3 linked regions of the Saccharomyces cerevisiae S288C genome follow. The gene in region 2 interacts genetically with the main gene of each other region. Each region holds a gene or a part of one and is shown on either strand. Other genes may lie near its edges.

Evidence for each region.
Region 1: mutations in SUR1 (region 2) and RVS161 together harm fitness less than expected from each alone (positive genetic interaction), as found in Saccharomyces cerevisiae (5 studies listed by BioGRID, with this or other methods).
Region 3: of SUR1 (region 2) and SUR2, a mutation in one rescues a mutant of the other (synthetic rescue), as found in Saccharomyces cerevisiae (7 studies listed by BioGRID, with this or other methods).

What each region holds. Positions count from the first base shown.
Region 1 is NC_001135.5:129,164-133,285, reverse strand, and holds RVS161 (amphiphysin-like protein RVS161), read left to right. Parts: upstream 1-1,743; coding exon 1,744-2,541; downstream 2,542-4,122. Other genes in the region: ADY2 (Ady2p), read left to right, coding at 162-1,013; serine/threonine protein kinase SAT4, read right to left, coding at 3,005-4,122. UniProt on the Saccharomyces cerevisiae protein: Component of a cytoskeletal structure that is required for the formation of endocytic vesicles at the plasma membrane level.
Region 2 is NC_001148.4:449,367-458,022, forward strand, and holds SUR1 (mannosylinositol phosphorylceramide synthase catalytic subunit SUR1), read right to left. Parts: upstream 3,692-8,656; coding exon 2,543-3,691; downstream 1-2,542. Other genes in the region: ATP-binding cassette multidrug transporter PDR12, read right to left, coding at 1-1,011; LCL1 (Lcl1p), read right to left, coding at 4,064-4,369; LGE1 (Lge1p), read right to left, coding at 4,626-5,624; LEE1 (Lee1p), read left to right, coding at 6,393-7,298; KTR6 (putative mannosyltransferase), read right to left, coding at 7,752-8,656. UniProt on the Saccharomyces cerevisiae protein: Involved in the synthesis of mannosyl phosphorylinositol ceramide. Catalyzes the addition of mannosyl to phosphorylinositol ceramide. Suppressor of RVS161 mutation.
Region 3 is NC_001136.10:1,054,756-1,059,181, reverse strand, and holds SUR2 (sphingosine hydroxylase), read right to left. Parts: upstream 2,632-4,426; coding exon 1,582-2,631; downstream 1-1,581. Other genes in the region: ATP5 (F1F0 ATP synthase subunit 5), read left to right, coding at 368-1,006; mitochondrial 54S ribosomal protein mL67 MHR1, read right to left, coding at 3,290-3,970. UniProt on the Saccharomyces cerevisiae protein: Required for hydroxylation of C-4 in the sphingoid moiety of ceramide. Catalyzes the conversion of sphinganine to phytosphingosine in sphingolipid biosynthesis. Involved in the response to syringomycin.

The sequences.
Region 1 (4,122 bases), on a different chromosome or scaffold from region 2:
TCCCTGAGATCTTGCTATAGGTTCATTTTATATATCGTCCAATAGCAATAACAATACAACAGAAACTACTAGCATCTGTTTATAAGAAAAAGGCAAATAGTCGACAGCTAACACAGATATAACTAAACAACCACAAAACAACTCATATACAAACAAATAATATGTCTGACAAGGAACAAACGAGCGGAAACACAGATTTGGAGAATGCACCAGCAGGATACTATAGTTCCCATGATAACGACGTTAATGGCGTTGCAGAAGATGAACGTCCATCTCATGATTCGTTGGGCAAGATTTACACTGGAGGTGATAACAATGAATATATCTATATTGGGCGTCAAAAGTTTTTGAAGAGCGACTTATACCAAGCCTTTGGTGGTACCTTGAATCCAGGGTTAGCTCCTGCTCCAGTGCACAAATTTGCTAATCCTGCGCCCTTAGGTCTTTCAGCCTTCGCGTTGACGACATTTGTGCTGTCCATGTTCAATGCGAGAGCGCAAGGGATCACTGTTCCTAATGTTGTCGTCGGTTGTGCTATGTTTTATGGTGGTTTGGTGCAATTGATTGCTGGTATTTGGGAGATAGCTTTGGAAAATACTTTTGGTGGTACCGCATTATGTTCTTACGGTGGGTTTTGGTTGAGTTTCGCTGCAATTTACATTCCTTGGTTTGGTATCTTGGAAGCTTACGAAGACAATGAATCTGATTTGAATAATGCTTTAGGATTTTATTTGTTGGGGTGGGCCATCTTTACGTTTGGTTTAACCGTTTGTACCATGAAATCCACTGTTATGTTCTTTTTGTTGTTCTTCTTACTAGCATTAACTTTCCTACTGTTGTCTATTGGTCACTTTGCTAATAGACTTGGTGTCACAAGAGCTGGTGGTGTCCTGGGAGTTGTTGTTGCTTTCATTGCTTGGTACAACGCATATGCAGGTGTTGCTACAAAGCAGAATTCATATGTACTGGCTCGTCCATTCCCATTACCATCTACTGAAAGGGTAATCTTTTAAGAGCACGACCTACTAATAACGAGAACTATTGAAATAAAAAAGAGTAGTTTTTTATTTTTCAATTTTTTAATATGATAATTATTTTATGACTTATATAACCACACCAACTAATCGTACTTTTATATGTTTAAATAGAATGGCTGTTTCAGTCGTACACTATTAATAACATTATGTTACTTCGCAATTAAATGTTTTTCAAAGCTAAAACTTCAAAACAAGATATAAACAATGTACAAAAATGATTACGAAAATATAGATGATGTAAGCAAGGTACGGTTATAAACAGTTAACATATAAGTTTACTTCACTTTTTTGCTGACTCCTTTACTTGTCTTCCCTGCACTTTGATTTTACTTCAGAAAAAATAAGATATATGTTTCTGATAAAACTTTTAGGTTAGCGGAGAAGATGTTGCCACGAATATCATGTAATTGAAAGGCAACGAAAGGTCTATCGTTTGCCATTCATAATGTGATTCGACTTGTCTTTTTCATTGTAACAGACATGAAACGTTTCCTTTACGTCCCTATGAATTTTTGTTGGCTGAACTGGGCGCTGCAGGGGCTGGACGATCCAAATGCGCGGATTTTGAACAATTATGAGAATCCGAATTAAAAGAAAGGGAAAACAAATTTAATAACAGGCAGACGTGAGAGAAGAAAAGGAAACGCTGTGATATAGAAAACTATACAAATCCTATTATAAGAAGCCAGAAGAAAGCTGATACAAGATGAGTTGGGAAGGTTTTAAGAAAGCTATCAACAGAGCTGGTCACAGTGTGATAATTAAGAATGTCGACAAGACCATTGATAAAGAGTATGACATGGAAGAACGTCGTTATAAAGTTCTTCAAAGAGCAGGTGAGGCATTACAAAAGGAAGCCAAAGGTTTCTTGGACTCATTGAGAGCTGTGACAGCATCACAGACTACCATTGCCGAGGTCATCTCTAACCTCTATGACGATTCAAAATATGTTGCTGGTGGTGGTTACAACGTTGGTAACTATTATTTGCAATGTGTTCAAGATTTTGATAGCGAAACTGTTAAGCAATTAGACGGGCCCTTAAGAGAAACCGTACTAGATCCAATAACAAAGTTTTCGACGTATTTCAAAGAAATTGAGGAGGCCATAAAAAAGAGAGACCATAAGAAACAAGACTTCGATGCTGCGAAGGCAAAAGTTCGTAGATTAGTGGACAAACCTGCTAAAGATGCCTCTAAACTGCCAAGGGCTGAAAAAGAATTGAGCTTAGCTAAAGATATTTTCGAAAATCTTAATAACCAATTGAAAACTGAACTACCACAGTTAGTTTCATTAAGAGTACCTTACTTTGACCCAAGTTTTGAAGCTTTAATCAAGATTCAGCTAAGGTTCTGTACTGATGGTTACACTCGTTTAGCGCAGATTCAACAATATTTGGACCAACAATCAAGAGACGACTATGCCAATGGGTTATTAGACACTAAAATCGAAGAACTATTAGGACAAATGACAAGCCTAGATATTTGTGCGCTCGGGATAAAATAAATTAATGCTTTTGCCTTTAGTTTTTTACGGTCATTTATGTTTCTTTCATTTAAATTAACAGACCTAAATAGCACTATAATTTACTATCTGCTCTATCTGACCAACCGACTCTTTTTAAGAAAGCAATTAAAAAGCGATAATAACCGCGGGCATGTGTTTTTGTTAACATGAACACAATAAACGTAAGAATGTCTAGCAATAAATTCAAAATTATTATCTTTTTTTTTTTTATTGTTATGTACTATTTTTTTTTTTAAATAAGGTTACAATTCTTTTTTAATTAATGGGATTTACCAATTTGAACGTGATCCGTAATCAGCCAAACGGGATATAAAAGTAGAACAATAGAAGCGAGGAATAAGATACGAATGCCGGATAACAAAGCATTCCTTAGTGTACTAGATTAAGTAAAAAATACCGAATTGTTCCAAAATATCGTGATATTTGAAAGTGAAGTACTCGTTTATTTCAATGCGCGCCCATTATGGCAGCATTTTATCTCCCTTCCCCATTCACTGTTCAAAATTTGTTTCCCGTTAATTCTTCTGTACGGAACGGGATCTAACATCGAATATATAACATTCCTACACCTGGCTCTTTTTAAACTTTCGATTGGCTCATAGCCTCCCTTTTCCTTACGTCCTTTTAAATAATTCATATAAAATGGATCGTCTTTTTCAGCAGAACTCCACAATTGTCTACCAGTTCTCATTGCCATATAAATGACACCACATGCCCATATATCTACGGGTCTTGGATCAAACTCTTCTTTGATATATTCCTCTGGGGCGATGTACGGCGATGAACCGCAAACGCCTCCACTAAGGTGAATATTTTTTTCCCATGCCATCTTGAAACATTCGCTGTTACCAAAGTCTGTAATTTTTAGCACACCATCGTGCGTAAGCAGTAAGTTCTCAGGCTTCAAATCTCTATGACAAACACCCATTTCATGCATATAAACAACACCTCTAATAAGCTGCTTGAAGAAACAATCTGCTTCCATATATTCTAATTTTCCGGCGGCAACGACCAAAGTGAATAGATCGCCACCTGCACAATATTCCATTACTTCACAGTACTCGCCTTTGGCATCTTGGAAAAGATCTAGTGTAGTAACAATATTTGTATGGTGTAATGAAGAAGAAATGCAAAATTCAGAAGTCAACCTCTTAGAATACTTTTCTGCTGATTCGGATGTTCTACGCTTGAACTCTTTCACTGCATAAAGCTTTTCACTTTTATTACCATCTTGAGAAGAAACATTTTTCTTTTGACATATTCTTACTACACCAAAAGCACCTTTACCAAGGACTTCTTGACAGCGACCATACTTTTCGGCAAAACATTGCCTATCTTTTTTAGTAGTAGTGATATTATGCGTATTATTTTTGGAATCTTTTTGATCTGACCTGTATATATCCCTTTCAGGACAATTTAAAGCGCCACTTGTGGGAGCGCCTTCTGGATATTTATCATCCATATCCACGACCTGCTTCATGAAGCCTGCAAAAAGAGTAGGAGGATTCTTGTTGGATTTTAAAGTCGTCTTTGGATCCATTATTATATCAGGGACAGCAG
Region 2 (8,656 bases):
GGCTTGGGCAAACTCTAAAGCAGTAGAGGCATCCAAACCTCTTGTGGCGTTATCCCAAGAGTAGATGGAGGCATTCATTGCCTGAGCTTCAACCAAGGAAACACGCTTACGTTCACCACCAGAAACACCTCTTACGAAATCGTTACCGACTTTGGTGGCATATGTGTGTCTTAAACCAAAAACGGTACACCACATATCTCTGATGTTATCAACGTATTGCTTTCTCGTCATTTTGTCAATTCTAACACGAGGAGTCTTACATTTTAGGGCAAAATCGATTGTTTCCTTCACAGTAATTTTTGGGAAATGGAAATCAAGCTCGGGACAGTAAATAACGTAACCTTTATACTTAGACATCATTTCGCTTTGGTCCAGACCATCATAGGAGAATTCACCTTGTACATCAACTAATTCTGAAGTTTCACCAGATAGACACTTTAGGAAAGTGGAGCAACCTGCACCTGGCCTACCGACGACAAATAACATTTCACCAGATTCAACGACACCCGTACAATTTTGAATAATATTCCTTAATGGGACATCAGATTTCTTGGTAAATTTACTTATGAGATGTGCCGGTATACTAGCAATATTTCTAAACATCTCTTCAACACTAGGCCCATATGCAGCAGAGGCATCAACACCGACTGCTGTTAGGTTTTTAAAGGCAATACCAGAATCACCAGGTTCAATTCCCTGTTCCAATTGACGAGACCTCAAATAATGTAATAGTGAGCGCAAATCAAAATCTAAGTCATTAATTTCAAAAGAGTCCATTTCCTTCTTTGTCTTATGTGAAATGACTCTCGCCATAGACTCCAACCTTTCAATACCTTCTTCATTGGAAAGAATGTTTGAAAGGTGACGGGATAGCTGAGAAGTGGCTGCCAAATCCTCATTATCAACTTGGCCTTCGGAGGCAGCGTAGGATTGTACCGAATTAGCATAATCATCGTCATGGTTCGATCTCGACGAAATGTCTTTCTCAATATGTTCGTCAGTCGAAGACATTTTTTTATTAATAAGAACAATAACAATAAATCTGTAAACCTTTTTTTTAAGTGAAAATTAGTAACTGGGAAAACAGAGAGAAAAAAAGCAGAAGAATATATTGATTGAAGAATAAAACTGTTTAACGTTCCCGTTTATTTTTCAGATTATCCTATTGTTATACTATTATCGTTCTTAGTCTTTTCTTTATATGATAAAGAGAACCCCAAAAAGAGAACTACCTTGTACCATGGTTGTTAATAAAATTGGATTTGTTGATATATTTATATGATTAACATTTCATTCAGGATAGAATTGCCTAAAAGGTAAGAAATAATCATAAGAACCGTCGAGAAAATGTGATACCGAATCCCTGCGGTGGACGTGGCTAAAGAATAGTGAAGAAAAACCGGCTGTAGTGTATGTTTTGTATGAGCCATAGCCGAAAGATCGAAAAAGTAGCAGATCCCAAACACTTTACGGAAAAAAATCGAGAAATTCCGGCGAATCGGCTCTTAACGGATGCAGGGTGTCAGTCTGATGAGCCATAAAAAGAAAGATGCACCATTGCCAAGCTGCCCTGAGGAAGGGTTTTGGTTACCCTGTGAGATGGATGCGGTAAAATGACCAAGGGACCGGTTGGTAAGGGACCAGGTTAGGAACCGTGAGCGGCGAAAAAAGCGCGCATTTGCACAATTATATTATTAACAGGTGCCTGAATTTTAAGAACCGTCCACCATCACAGGTGAAACAAATCAACAGAGTCCTGCCGGCTGGTAAACAATCCATCTTTGGTTTAGAGGCCACTATCGTCAGAATAATATAAGGTCTATTTTCGGCGCGAAAGTCCTGATGAGGTAAATCGTAGTCAGGCGCCTGAAAGTCTAAACTAAACAATTGAAAGCCGAAACCGAAACGCGGAAAAGTAAATGGCACTCTTCGAGCGGCTACTAGTCGAGTAATTACATTTCTAAATTAGTCTGTGCAATAGGGAAAAGAGAACATTCTTACTCCGTTGCGATGTTTCTGAGCATAAGGCGCGCGCAAAAGCACGCACGCATTGACCGGAGCGGCGCCCACACACGGTTGTTATCCTAGTTTTTGTTGTGAGGAAGTGTTCATATTCTTTTAGGTTATATTTATATATATATATATAAAAGTTGAATGTAAAATGCAAAACAAAGATATCGTAGTATAGAGGGTAATATCACAGTAATAAAACAGGCCTGGTTTGAAGAATGATTATGTTGATGCTGGAGGTCGTAAATTGTAACATGAAATAGGGAGCATGCGAAAAAAAAAAATGACGAGCAAAAAAAGCAAGGTAGACAGGCGTGCCAAGCGGAGTAGTATGTCGTAAGAAGCGAGCAAATAGTACTCCTTGTCTTGCAAAGTAGCGAAGTACAAGACTGGTCTTCAGGCTGCTAGAGATTTGTATCAATTTTGTATTTTTTTTTCATCCCATGCAATTTTCCTTCCCATTTCTTTTGCTTTTTTTGCCGCGAATTGAAATATAAAGTCTGATATGAATTGTTGGAGTCATACCATTCTCTTACGAGCTGTTATTTCCCAGTGAGTACTTAGAAGAATCATTCTTTTCTAAATCGTAAACATCACTTTTCCTTGAAGATTTTAGTAACACTATGTTTGTATTGGAATCTTTCCTCAATCGTTTCTGCTGCCTTGCCAGCAAAGTGGCACTGGCAGTATCACTGGTACTTTTACTCAACTTTAGTCTTAAGCCTAATGAATTTAGAATTGTGACAAATCTTACTTTTATAGCATTAAGTTTCCAATTTTTGGTTAGATTACTGAAATTCTTGGAACACAACCAGCAATAGAACGTGAATTCACCATATAGGATAAAGAAGCCAAAAATAAATCCGGTAACGACGCAGGATAAGATGTGGTTTTCTAGTGCTTTCATCAATTTTGCATCATCTAAATGCCATGAAGAGCCTTTAGTAATGGAGAAAAATGAATAACTATGCATCTTGTAGTAAGCAGGTTGTAGGATTCTTACTGTCCCGTTCTTAGGTATGCGCCATCTTTTGTACTGCTTCCAAATAACACTTAAAAACAACGGACCAGTAGACCCCATAATAGTCATGTAAGGGATAAACCAGTACTTGTCATAGTGTTTCAAAGACTTTAAAGCCTTTAAAAAGAAGGGATGTCTAGGCACAGAACCCATGACATCGTTTGAGACACCTAAAGGTGAAGTCTTTCTTAAGAAGGCCGGGAAAGCTAACAAAGGATCTAGTTTCCTTTCGCAGCCGTCATCTAAATCGATGTATACACCACCATAATGGGACAGGATAAAGTAACGAATGGCATCGGCACGTTCTATGGGGTATTTGTAGTTCTCAAAAGTATCGAGAAACCACGGGTATTCTTCCTTTATAAACTCATAGGCCATCTCGTCCGTCCATAGGATGTACTTGTAATCTGGATGTAGATCGAGACATTTTTGTCTACCCTCTTTCCAGTGCTCAGGGATGTCTTCCGTTTTATAAGTCTGATGTATGATTTTAGGTATTAGTTGAGGCTTTGGAGGTGCATCTGGATTTAAGTCTTCCTCAAGTATAGCATCTTTAACAGTATCGTCAATACACAACGTTAGCAAATCGAAAGTGTAGTATATTATAGATAACAGGAGGAGTATGTTGAAGCAGATAAGGTATTTTAATTCTTTTCTCATCGTGAGTGCAACAGCGGAAAATCAGAAAAATAGAGTAAAGCAAATATGCGAAAATGAAAAGTGTCTTCCGATTTATTGTTTGTTTGTATGTGTTTATTTGAATCCGATGATGAATATTACAACAGGTTAAAGAAAACAAAACATGCGAAGCAAAATATGACGGGAATGTTGGCACCTTTTATTTAACTATATTAGAAAAGAAAAAGCAGAAAACGTAAAATATCTGCGTAAGCCTCCTCCCTGTGTCTTCACTCCTCTAACCATTTTTTCCAAGTAGAAAAGTTTATATATAACAAGAGGGGAAAAAAATGTGGAAATTGGCAGTGGACGTGAGAACAAAAAAGCACCGCTGAAAGGCTTGGCCAAGGAAGTTTAGAAAGGCGATAATAACGAGGTAAGAAGAAAGAAAAAAAAAGAAAAAGATGGCTTAGCAAAAGATTGGTTTTTATCCCGGGGGAGTTGTTGTGGCCGGGAGCAAGAGAAGAGACGCAGCAAGCGTGGGTCAATGATAATGACGCAGCGCGACGCGACGCGACGCGAATTCAAAAGTGTGAGTTTGCTCGGGGATAGTAATAATGCGGGGGGGAAGACGAAACAGACCGTGTGTGGTGTGGGTGGGATTTCGTGGGAGCACGTGGCGAGCAGAGGAAGAGCCTCACACAATGCTGCGTTCTTCATAAAGGGGATCAAAGCAAATAGATAATCGATTCCAAAGACAGATGGCTGACACGCACTTTCACAGTTTCGCAGTTTTTTCTTTTTTCGTAGTCGCTTTCCTAGTCGCTTTCCTGGCTCTTTACCTAATCGGGCTTAACCTAGCAGTACCTTTTCTCGATTCATGAAATCAAAACGCTAGTCACTTCCTTATAATTTCCTTTTTCAATTTCCGCCGCTTGCGTTTACGTAGTTTATCTATTTATAGGTACGGTATACCCTACTGCATTAATAACAATGAGTCCAGCTTTTCTTGGGTCAGTTGAATATTTAATGCATGCTTGTCGCACTGGTTATTTAGGAGCCGCAATTCTAGCTCATTAGAATTGATTTTTAGGTTTAGTTCTTCCAAAGCGGAATCGATGGAATCGCTCTCTTTGAAAACTTCCCTCGCCTTTTCACATTCACTTTCGGTGTTGTTTGTCTTTTTCACATTTTTATCAAAATCTGTCAAGTAAATAAAGGGGGAATCTTTCATATCTAGTATTCTTTTCTTCTTGACGACGCTGCTGCTAGAGCCGTCGCTGTTACTTCTATTTTCTGGTACGTGTACTGGGTAACCCTTTGCATAATAGCCATTCGATGGGGGAGGCGGTGGTGTCTCACGGTGGTGGTAATTATTGTAAGTATGGCTGCTGGAATATGGATAAGCACTGCTGTGATATGATCTATTGTTGGTTATAGACGATACTGAAGGTGGTGGCGGAAGCCCGTTGCTGGTGCTGCTAGTGCTGCTGTTCCCACTACTACCATTTCTGCTGCTGGTGCTGCCAACGCTCATCGGTTGTTGGCGTGGATGATCTGCCTGCATGTTCCGGTATCTGGACTTGACTCTTTTTTCGTCATTATCTTCTTGCGAGGCGCTCGTGGTCCTGCCGTTCGTATCTTGACTATTGCCACGTTGCGGTAGGTGGTACGAATTTGTACCATTGTTGTACCTGGGGGATGGTTGTGCTTGGTAATGCCTGCTATTAGCTGAATAGTACGGCCTTGTATCTGTGTATCCGTTTCGATAGTATGCTCCGGTTTGTCTCAAGTCTCCCTCTTGGGGCGGCTGCTCATAGTCACTGTTGTATCTCGCGCCATAAGACGCATTACCGCCTCTGTAATACGATCCGCCTGCTCCACCTCTACTTCGTCTCGCATGGTGATAACCCCCCCTTTGTCTCGGAGGAGTGGATGAGTATCTGCTATAATTATTTCCCGTGTATCCGCTCATACTTTACTGCGGTTTTTTGGTCACCTCTTCTGCCTCGTAATAAATGTGGTGTTCTTTCCTTTCATCGCAGTTGATTCATTCTCTCTGATGAAAATAAGAGAAAAAAAAGAACTTCACAGGGTAATGGCCCGTACAAAGTGTCTTTTTTTTCAATTCGGAACGGCGGAATTCCCCGCCACTCTTGCCCCGCCCCTTAAAACGCCAAGGTGAAAGGGAGCTCTACTACAGGCCCGCCACAGTATGATGTGGGATAAAAAAGATGATAGGAAGAAAAGGTGCAGACAACATCCTGTATGGGGTGCACGGTGTGGCAGTGCTAGTAATAAAATGATGTGGAGATTAACATGTTGTGGTACGGTATTCTTATCTTCAAGGTACCACAGTATAATTCTGCCTTTATCATTTTTTATTTGTATTATGTATTTTCGTGCTTATCTTGTAATTTTTAAGTTTTGGATTTCGGTGCTTCGTGTAGTTCTTCCCCTATATCTCAATCTAAAGTAAATTATTACAAAATATGGTGGTGATCTTTTAATCTCAAAGCTTCTTTTACTCCGGGCATTATAAAAACAGAATCTCTTAGCAGTTACTCTTTTCCCTTTTCTCTTGTGCCGTCATATTAGAGTAATTATAATTTCTTCTTTTTCGGCTTCCCCTTGTTTCTACAAAATCTCGATTTTATTATCTAACACTATCATAACTACTACTATTACTATTACTATTATTATTATTATTATAAATCTTAAAACTATTATTTGCTAAAACAAAATGGATGCTTTTGAGAATATGTCTGTATCAAATCATCCGGGCGGTAACGCAAGAAGAAACTCCCAATCAGCAAACGAAATGCTTGCATCGCAAATTCAGGATTTCCAGAATATTCCAAGGTCTTTCAATGACAGCAATGCAAATGTAAATTTGTCAAAAAATTGTACTGTCGGCAATCAACTGCCTTTCTCATCACGTCAACAAAAAATTATCATGGAACATTTACTGATAACGAAGAACAATTCTCAACAGCAGAAGGACTATTCACACGTGCCATGCAAATTTTTTAAGATGGGCAATTGCCAAGCTGGCTCGTCTTGTCCCTTTTCCCATTCCCCAGATATTATCAGTTCTGCGAATAATTTACCTTGCAAGTATTTCGCAAAGGGTAACTGTAAATTCGGTAACAAGTGTGTTAATGCTCATGTGCTGCCAAATGGGTTCAAGATGAACAGTAAAGAACCTATTGACATCACTCCCCCTTCACAAAACAACTACTTATCCCATGCTAGATCAGCTTCTTTCTCTACCTACACGTCTCCTCCTCTGTCTGCACAAACGGAATTCTCTCACTCTGCTTCGAATGCAAACTACTTTTCCTCGCAATACCTAATGTATTCGCCTCAGAAAAGTCCAGAGGCCCTATATACTGAATTCTTTTCTCCCCCTTCGTCTTCTTCTTCGTACATCAACTATAGCTATAATAACTCCAACATTAATGCCTATTCTCCAGTCTCTTCGTCTTCATCTAACATTTGGCAAGAGCAAGGCCAAACTACGTTATCGAATCCGAGTGTGAATCAGAATTTAAGGTATCGTACAGGCCCTGCAATTCAAGAAGAATCAGATAATGAAATTGAAGATTTACTTATTCACAATTTCAATTCCAGATACTGTCATGAATGAAGAGCCGCCCCATCCATAGTTTTTCCTAGTTCAAGCATTAATATACCGGACCACTCTACATCTTCCGAAAGCCGGAAAATAAGAACAAAAAATAATAAAAAAAAGCACGTTTAATATAAAAAACATTTCATTGTATGAGTTGGATTCTTTTAATTTTATTTTAAAATACGGTTGCATTTTGCATAGTAATATCCAACCAATTATTTACTGAAATTTGAAATTTGATTAAAAAAGTCAAACCAAAAAAACTACGACAATACATGAAGCTCTGAATCTTCTAGCCTAGTCATTTTATATATATATATTCACCTCCTCTCGATACGTTCCATCATAAGTTAGTTTTGTTTTTCTCTTTCTCGCGATCCTAATTAAAAATTAAATAAAATAAATAAATACATATGTATATATATTCATATGTAGAAGATTATTGTTCTTATACATCAGTGTTTTGATTTATGGTAACCTATCCCAACCTTCTGGCTTATCTTTCTTCATAATGTCGAAGTAATGTCCGCCACATGAACCACTTCTAAACGTGAAATCGTTACCCTGGTCACAGTTACAATTATATTGGTTCCATATATCATCGTTTAGGGGACAGTTATTGTACTTGTCATAATGGAATCCTATATTTTCGAAAAAATGTATTTTATCCTTTGGCAACAGCATCGATAACCCAATTGTGTGGATGATGGAATCAGACCATTTCCAGTAGAAAATACCGCCCTCTTCGTCGATGTAATTAAAAAATTTCCTGTAAGCTGGCGATCTATAAAAGTTCAAATTACCAATTTCAAAATTTGATGTGAATTCACAGTTGTTAAAATCTTCAGAGTCCTTTTTTGTAATAAATGACTTGAAATTATTCTCGGAAATAAACTTTGGAAAATCCTTTGCAAATTTTTTCGTAACATCCCAAATCTTCTCATTGGCTTCCTTAGCTTCACTCATACTCAATGTGAAACCAAACACTTTGCCTTCATCTTGCATCCACCTAAAAAGGTCATGATCAATATCACAGTACAATTTAATACCAGGGTCTACTCTCCAGTACCAATCAAACTCATCCAGAACTGGATGCCTCCAAAAAAACCCTGCAAAATATCTAGCTTGATATCTTACAGCTCTAGAATCACCATCCGGTACATTTGCTAATGAAATTAGCGATTCTGCTGCTTTATTTTCATCAATCCATTCAGGGTATACCCATTCGTCTGCAGGAATTTCAGCAAATTTAATATTAATTAACTCAGGATCACCATTCATAGAATCAGTTATGGCTTGACGAATCATTTCTTGCTTCATTCCGTCAAGCTCCCCCTGACTAATAAAAACCCAAGGATAAGCAAAATTTTTGT
Region 3 (4,426 bases), on a different chromosome or scaffold from region 2:
ACTACTTACGTCCAATAAATCGTTATATTTTATGCCGTCGTCATAAAGTGGACACTTTCGAGAGACGGTGCTGGCCAATAAGATGCTGATATTTGAAATATCATTTACCCGGGCCCGGGTGGGAAAAACAAGGAATTAAAGATAATGAAGTGATCTTTTGGCGAGATAGTAAAACTTTCAATTATCTAGGAACAATTTCAAACGCCAATTGTTAACTTTGTGTACAGTATTTCTAGTTTTTATCTCATTGAAAACAAAATTCAGTCAACTTGGAAATTTAAGCAGGCTACTGTGGCATTGAGATATTTTTCCGCAGAGTAAGAACCGATTAGCAAGTTACCGCATTATTTTTAAACCGTGGACAATCATGTTTAATAGAGTCTTTACCAGGTCATTTGCATCAAGCTTAAGAGCTGCTGCTTCCAAAGCTGCTGCTCCCCCACCGGTGAGATTGTTCGGTGTTGAGGGCACTTACGCAACAGCTTTATATCAGGCCGCTGCAAAGAACTCCTCTATTGATGCTGCCTTTCAATCTTTGCAAAAAGTTGAAAGCACAGTCAAAAAGAATCCAAAATTAGGTCACTTATTACTGAATCCTGCATTGTCATTGAAGGACAGAAATTCTGTCATTGATGCCATCGTGGAGACTCACAAGAATTTGGATGGTTATGTCGTTAACCTATTGAAGGTTCTTTCCGAAAATAACAGACTGGGATGTTTTGAAAAAATTGCGTCTGACTTTGGCGTTTTAAACGATGCTCACAACGGGTTACTTAAAGGTACAGTGACTAGTGCTGAACCATTGGATCCTAAATCTTTCAAGAGGATTGAAAAAGCTTTGAGCGCCTCCAAATTGGTGGGGCAAGGTAAATCTTTGAAGCTGGAAAACGTGGTTAAGCCAGAGATTAAGGGTGGTTTGATTGTAGAACTTGGTGACAAGACTGTTGACTTAAGCATTTCTACAAAGATTCAAAAACTGAATAAGGTCTTAGAGGACAGCATTTAACGTTAATAATATAGTTGGATATGCTCAACTCGTTTGATGTTACTTTCTTTGCCTCCCTCCTAATTTTTGATTCTGTTCAAATATATATTCTTTTCCGTGAATTTTTCCTAAACATCAAAATTACGTACATATACGAATAAATAAGAAACCCCTCTAAAAAGTGAATTTTTTTGTTCGAGACAACCATTTTAATCATATATATGTTCGTGTATCCAGGCAAACTTATATTAATCGCAAAAAAAAAAATTATAAGTGTATATATGGAATAAACATAAAAAATAATAAAAGAAGAAAAAAAAAAATAATGAAGAATTCTCATCAGTTTTCGAAGATTTCAAGAAAGTCCGAAGAACATTTAAGACCTTTTTGATAATTCAAGATGTGCATGCACAATAATAACCATTTCATAGTTGAATTTTGATGTATTCTTTCGTTACAAATCAAATATATAGTCAAAGTCACGCCTATACACTTAATAATATGTCTTGATGTATATAAATGGATAATAAATACAAACGTGGGAAGTCGGAGACATTGCCTTTACCCAGCAATTGAACGGGAGGTATGCAAAAGGGTTATTTCTCTTTCTTTACTTCATTTTCAGCAGCATTCATAGCTTTGAAGTTTTTGAGTTTCTCCTTCTTTTCCAATTCTCTCTCTTGCAAAAACTCTTTGTACTTGTCGATGGTGACACGTCTTTGCTTCTTTTGATATTCTTCAAACCCTTTAAAGTTAGTTTGGAACAAATTGTCCCAGAAAGTGAAAAATGGTTGAGCAAAGTTCGTCTTGATACCAAATTGCTGGTGGTGGATATCGTGATAGACAGCGTTATTAGGGAAAAGCCATTGGAATGGGTCAAGTGGCAAAGCATACCCACAGTGGTCATCGACAGTCTTCATGGTGGCAAAGGTAAAAAGAATGATTTGCTCTCTGTGAGTCAAATGAGTTAACGTCATGGCAATACCGGTTCCCAAAGTATCTAACAAGAAGCCCTCAACAGGATTGTTGAAAAGAGCACCGTAAGCATATGGCACGTATAGTTCATGATGAACAGAGTGGAACCATTTGTATAAGGTCTTATTCATATGCATCAATCTATGCAAAAAGTATTGCCATGTATCAACGAATAAAAAGCCTGCAAAGATCTTCAAAGCGGACATTCCGTACATATAGCCGTAATAAATAGCGGCATCTGGAATAATCCGAGGAAGGTCTGCACGAAGCTTCCACATGGCATTTTCTTCAAACCCAGTCATGTAGATCGGCTCGAAGTGCATAAAGATAAGGCCAACAATGGTCTGTATGATATGTTGTAGAATCACTTCAAGGAAAACATGCATTCTCGACGCCTTGTTCCTCTTGGCAACCTCTTCGCTCGGATGAATTCTGTACTTCTCAGCCAGATGGAAAGTGTCTATTACATGGAATATACCAGACAACGCCCAGTAGGCAACAACCGGCGCAACCAAGGCCAGCACACCATCACTCATTTCCGGCAGCAAGGATTCCTTGGGGCGTAAATTAATGGCAGGGGCCTTGGCATAGTGCATAAACCCAAATGAGGTCTTGAGACCAAATGCTAGTGGAAAGGAACCGGCTGCAGTTGCATTCGATGTTACGTTCATCGTATATTTTCTTTTCGTATACACCCTCTTCGGACTAGAATGTTAGAAATACCCAGACCAAACAGTAAAGACGAAGACCCGGAGTAAATGCAAGGGAATAGAAGATATGTAAATCGTTACTTCTTTTATAATCCCAAAACACGAAACGAAAAATGCGGCAACAACAGCGCAGCAGGATGAAGAAAGAGTGAAATAAATCAAGACAATAGCAAACAAGAAATTTTTAGTAACCCAAAAAGAAATTTTTCTGTGAAAATTGGTGCGGAAAGACTAAGAAAAACCGCAGAAGCCGGAGAAAAGCGCGACTGCCCGAAGAAGGACGCGGGGTGAGGGAATAAGACAATAGGAAACAGGAGGTCGAAAAGCTTATTAAGCTGTGCAAGTGAAAAAGATAGAGAAATGACGATAAGGTGAGGAGGATAAAACGCGTTTCAAGTCACACAACAGCAGCAGTAGCAGCGGCAGCAGCAGCAGCGGCAGTAATAAAGACTAGCCCTGTGTATTCCTGTTTTGACCTATCTTCTTTTTGCGGATACCCGCACAGCACGTGTTTTTCCGTGGAACGGGATTTGGCAGAAAGGTTTGCATTGCACTATTTACATGAGCTTATATATGTTTTTTTTTCTACCTGCATTTGTATATCTAATGACGAAGCGTTCTACTGGGAAGACACTTCCGTCTGCTCTGTAGGATGTGATTCGAGCTTAGCTAGTTCCTTCAGAATAACGCTTTCTTCCCTCGCAATGTTCCCCACACGCTGAATAAGCTTGTGTTCCAGCCCCAGAGCATTGAACACATCGTAATTCCAATGTTTGTCCTTGTCACCCATCCTCCATGGGTCCTCCCAGTATATGGACGGTTTTTTGGCGGGTACTGTCTGCTTTTCTGCTGGTGTGGCATTCTCAAACACCTTCAACAAGGACTCCCGCAAGTCTGCCACTGCCTCTTGACAATATGTAGGTCTATACTGTCCGCTATACCAGACGTGCCCGTTAGAGTCCTTTTTTCTTAGCTTGTCACTCTCCTTACGCTGTGCCACATCACGGAGGTATCTCAACCGGCAGAGGTTCTGGTATAGATGGACACTCTGCTTATAGTTTTGCAAGTTCACTACACACATACATTTCCAGATGTCCCTTCTCAATGATGGCTTTCTGTTGCTCCAGTTTGGTCTCACAAACAGCTTATCCACCTGTGTTTGCGAAAAGTTGGGAAATTGAGAATATAGTACTTGTCCATACTCTAGGTTCCTAAAGATGTATACCTGGGGTGGGATTATCTTTGTCTTTTCGAACCATGAAGCGGGGCGGAATCTTGAAATTGAATGGTTTACCTTCATGCTTTTGCCCTGAAATATCGATTTTTCCGTCGCTGTTTCTCTATTTATTCCTCACAGGATCTCCTCTTTCCGTTTCCTCTACATTTCATCATATAGCCTTACTTTCACTTTTTCCTTTAGTATCTGAATATCGGAAAAGAGAATATTGTAGGAAATGTATTTTTCCCGTCTACCGTACAAAATGAGTCGTTAACTTGACAGGAATCATCAACTTTATGCACGTCTGAAATTTAACCGTGGCGTATATGGTTCATTGCTTACACGAATGTCTCCTAGTTTATATTTCCTGAGAAAGTTCTCTACAGCCCAAATAAATAGTTATATAGATATATAAGAAAAGCGACAACAAAAGAAAAAAAAAAAATACAGTCCTACTAAAATAACATAATTGCGGCACAGAAGAGTAACCACAACTAGTAGAACATCGAGAAAGGAGAGGTAACAAAAAATTTTTTT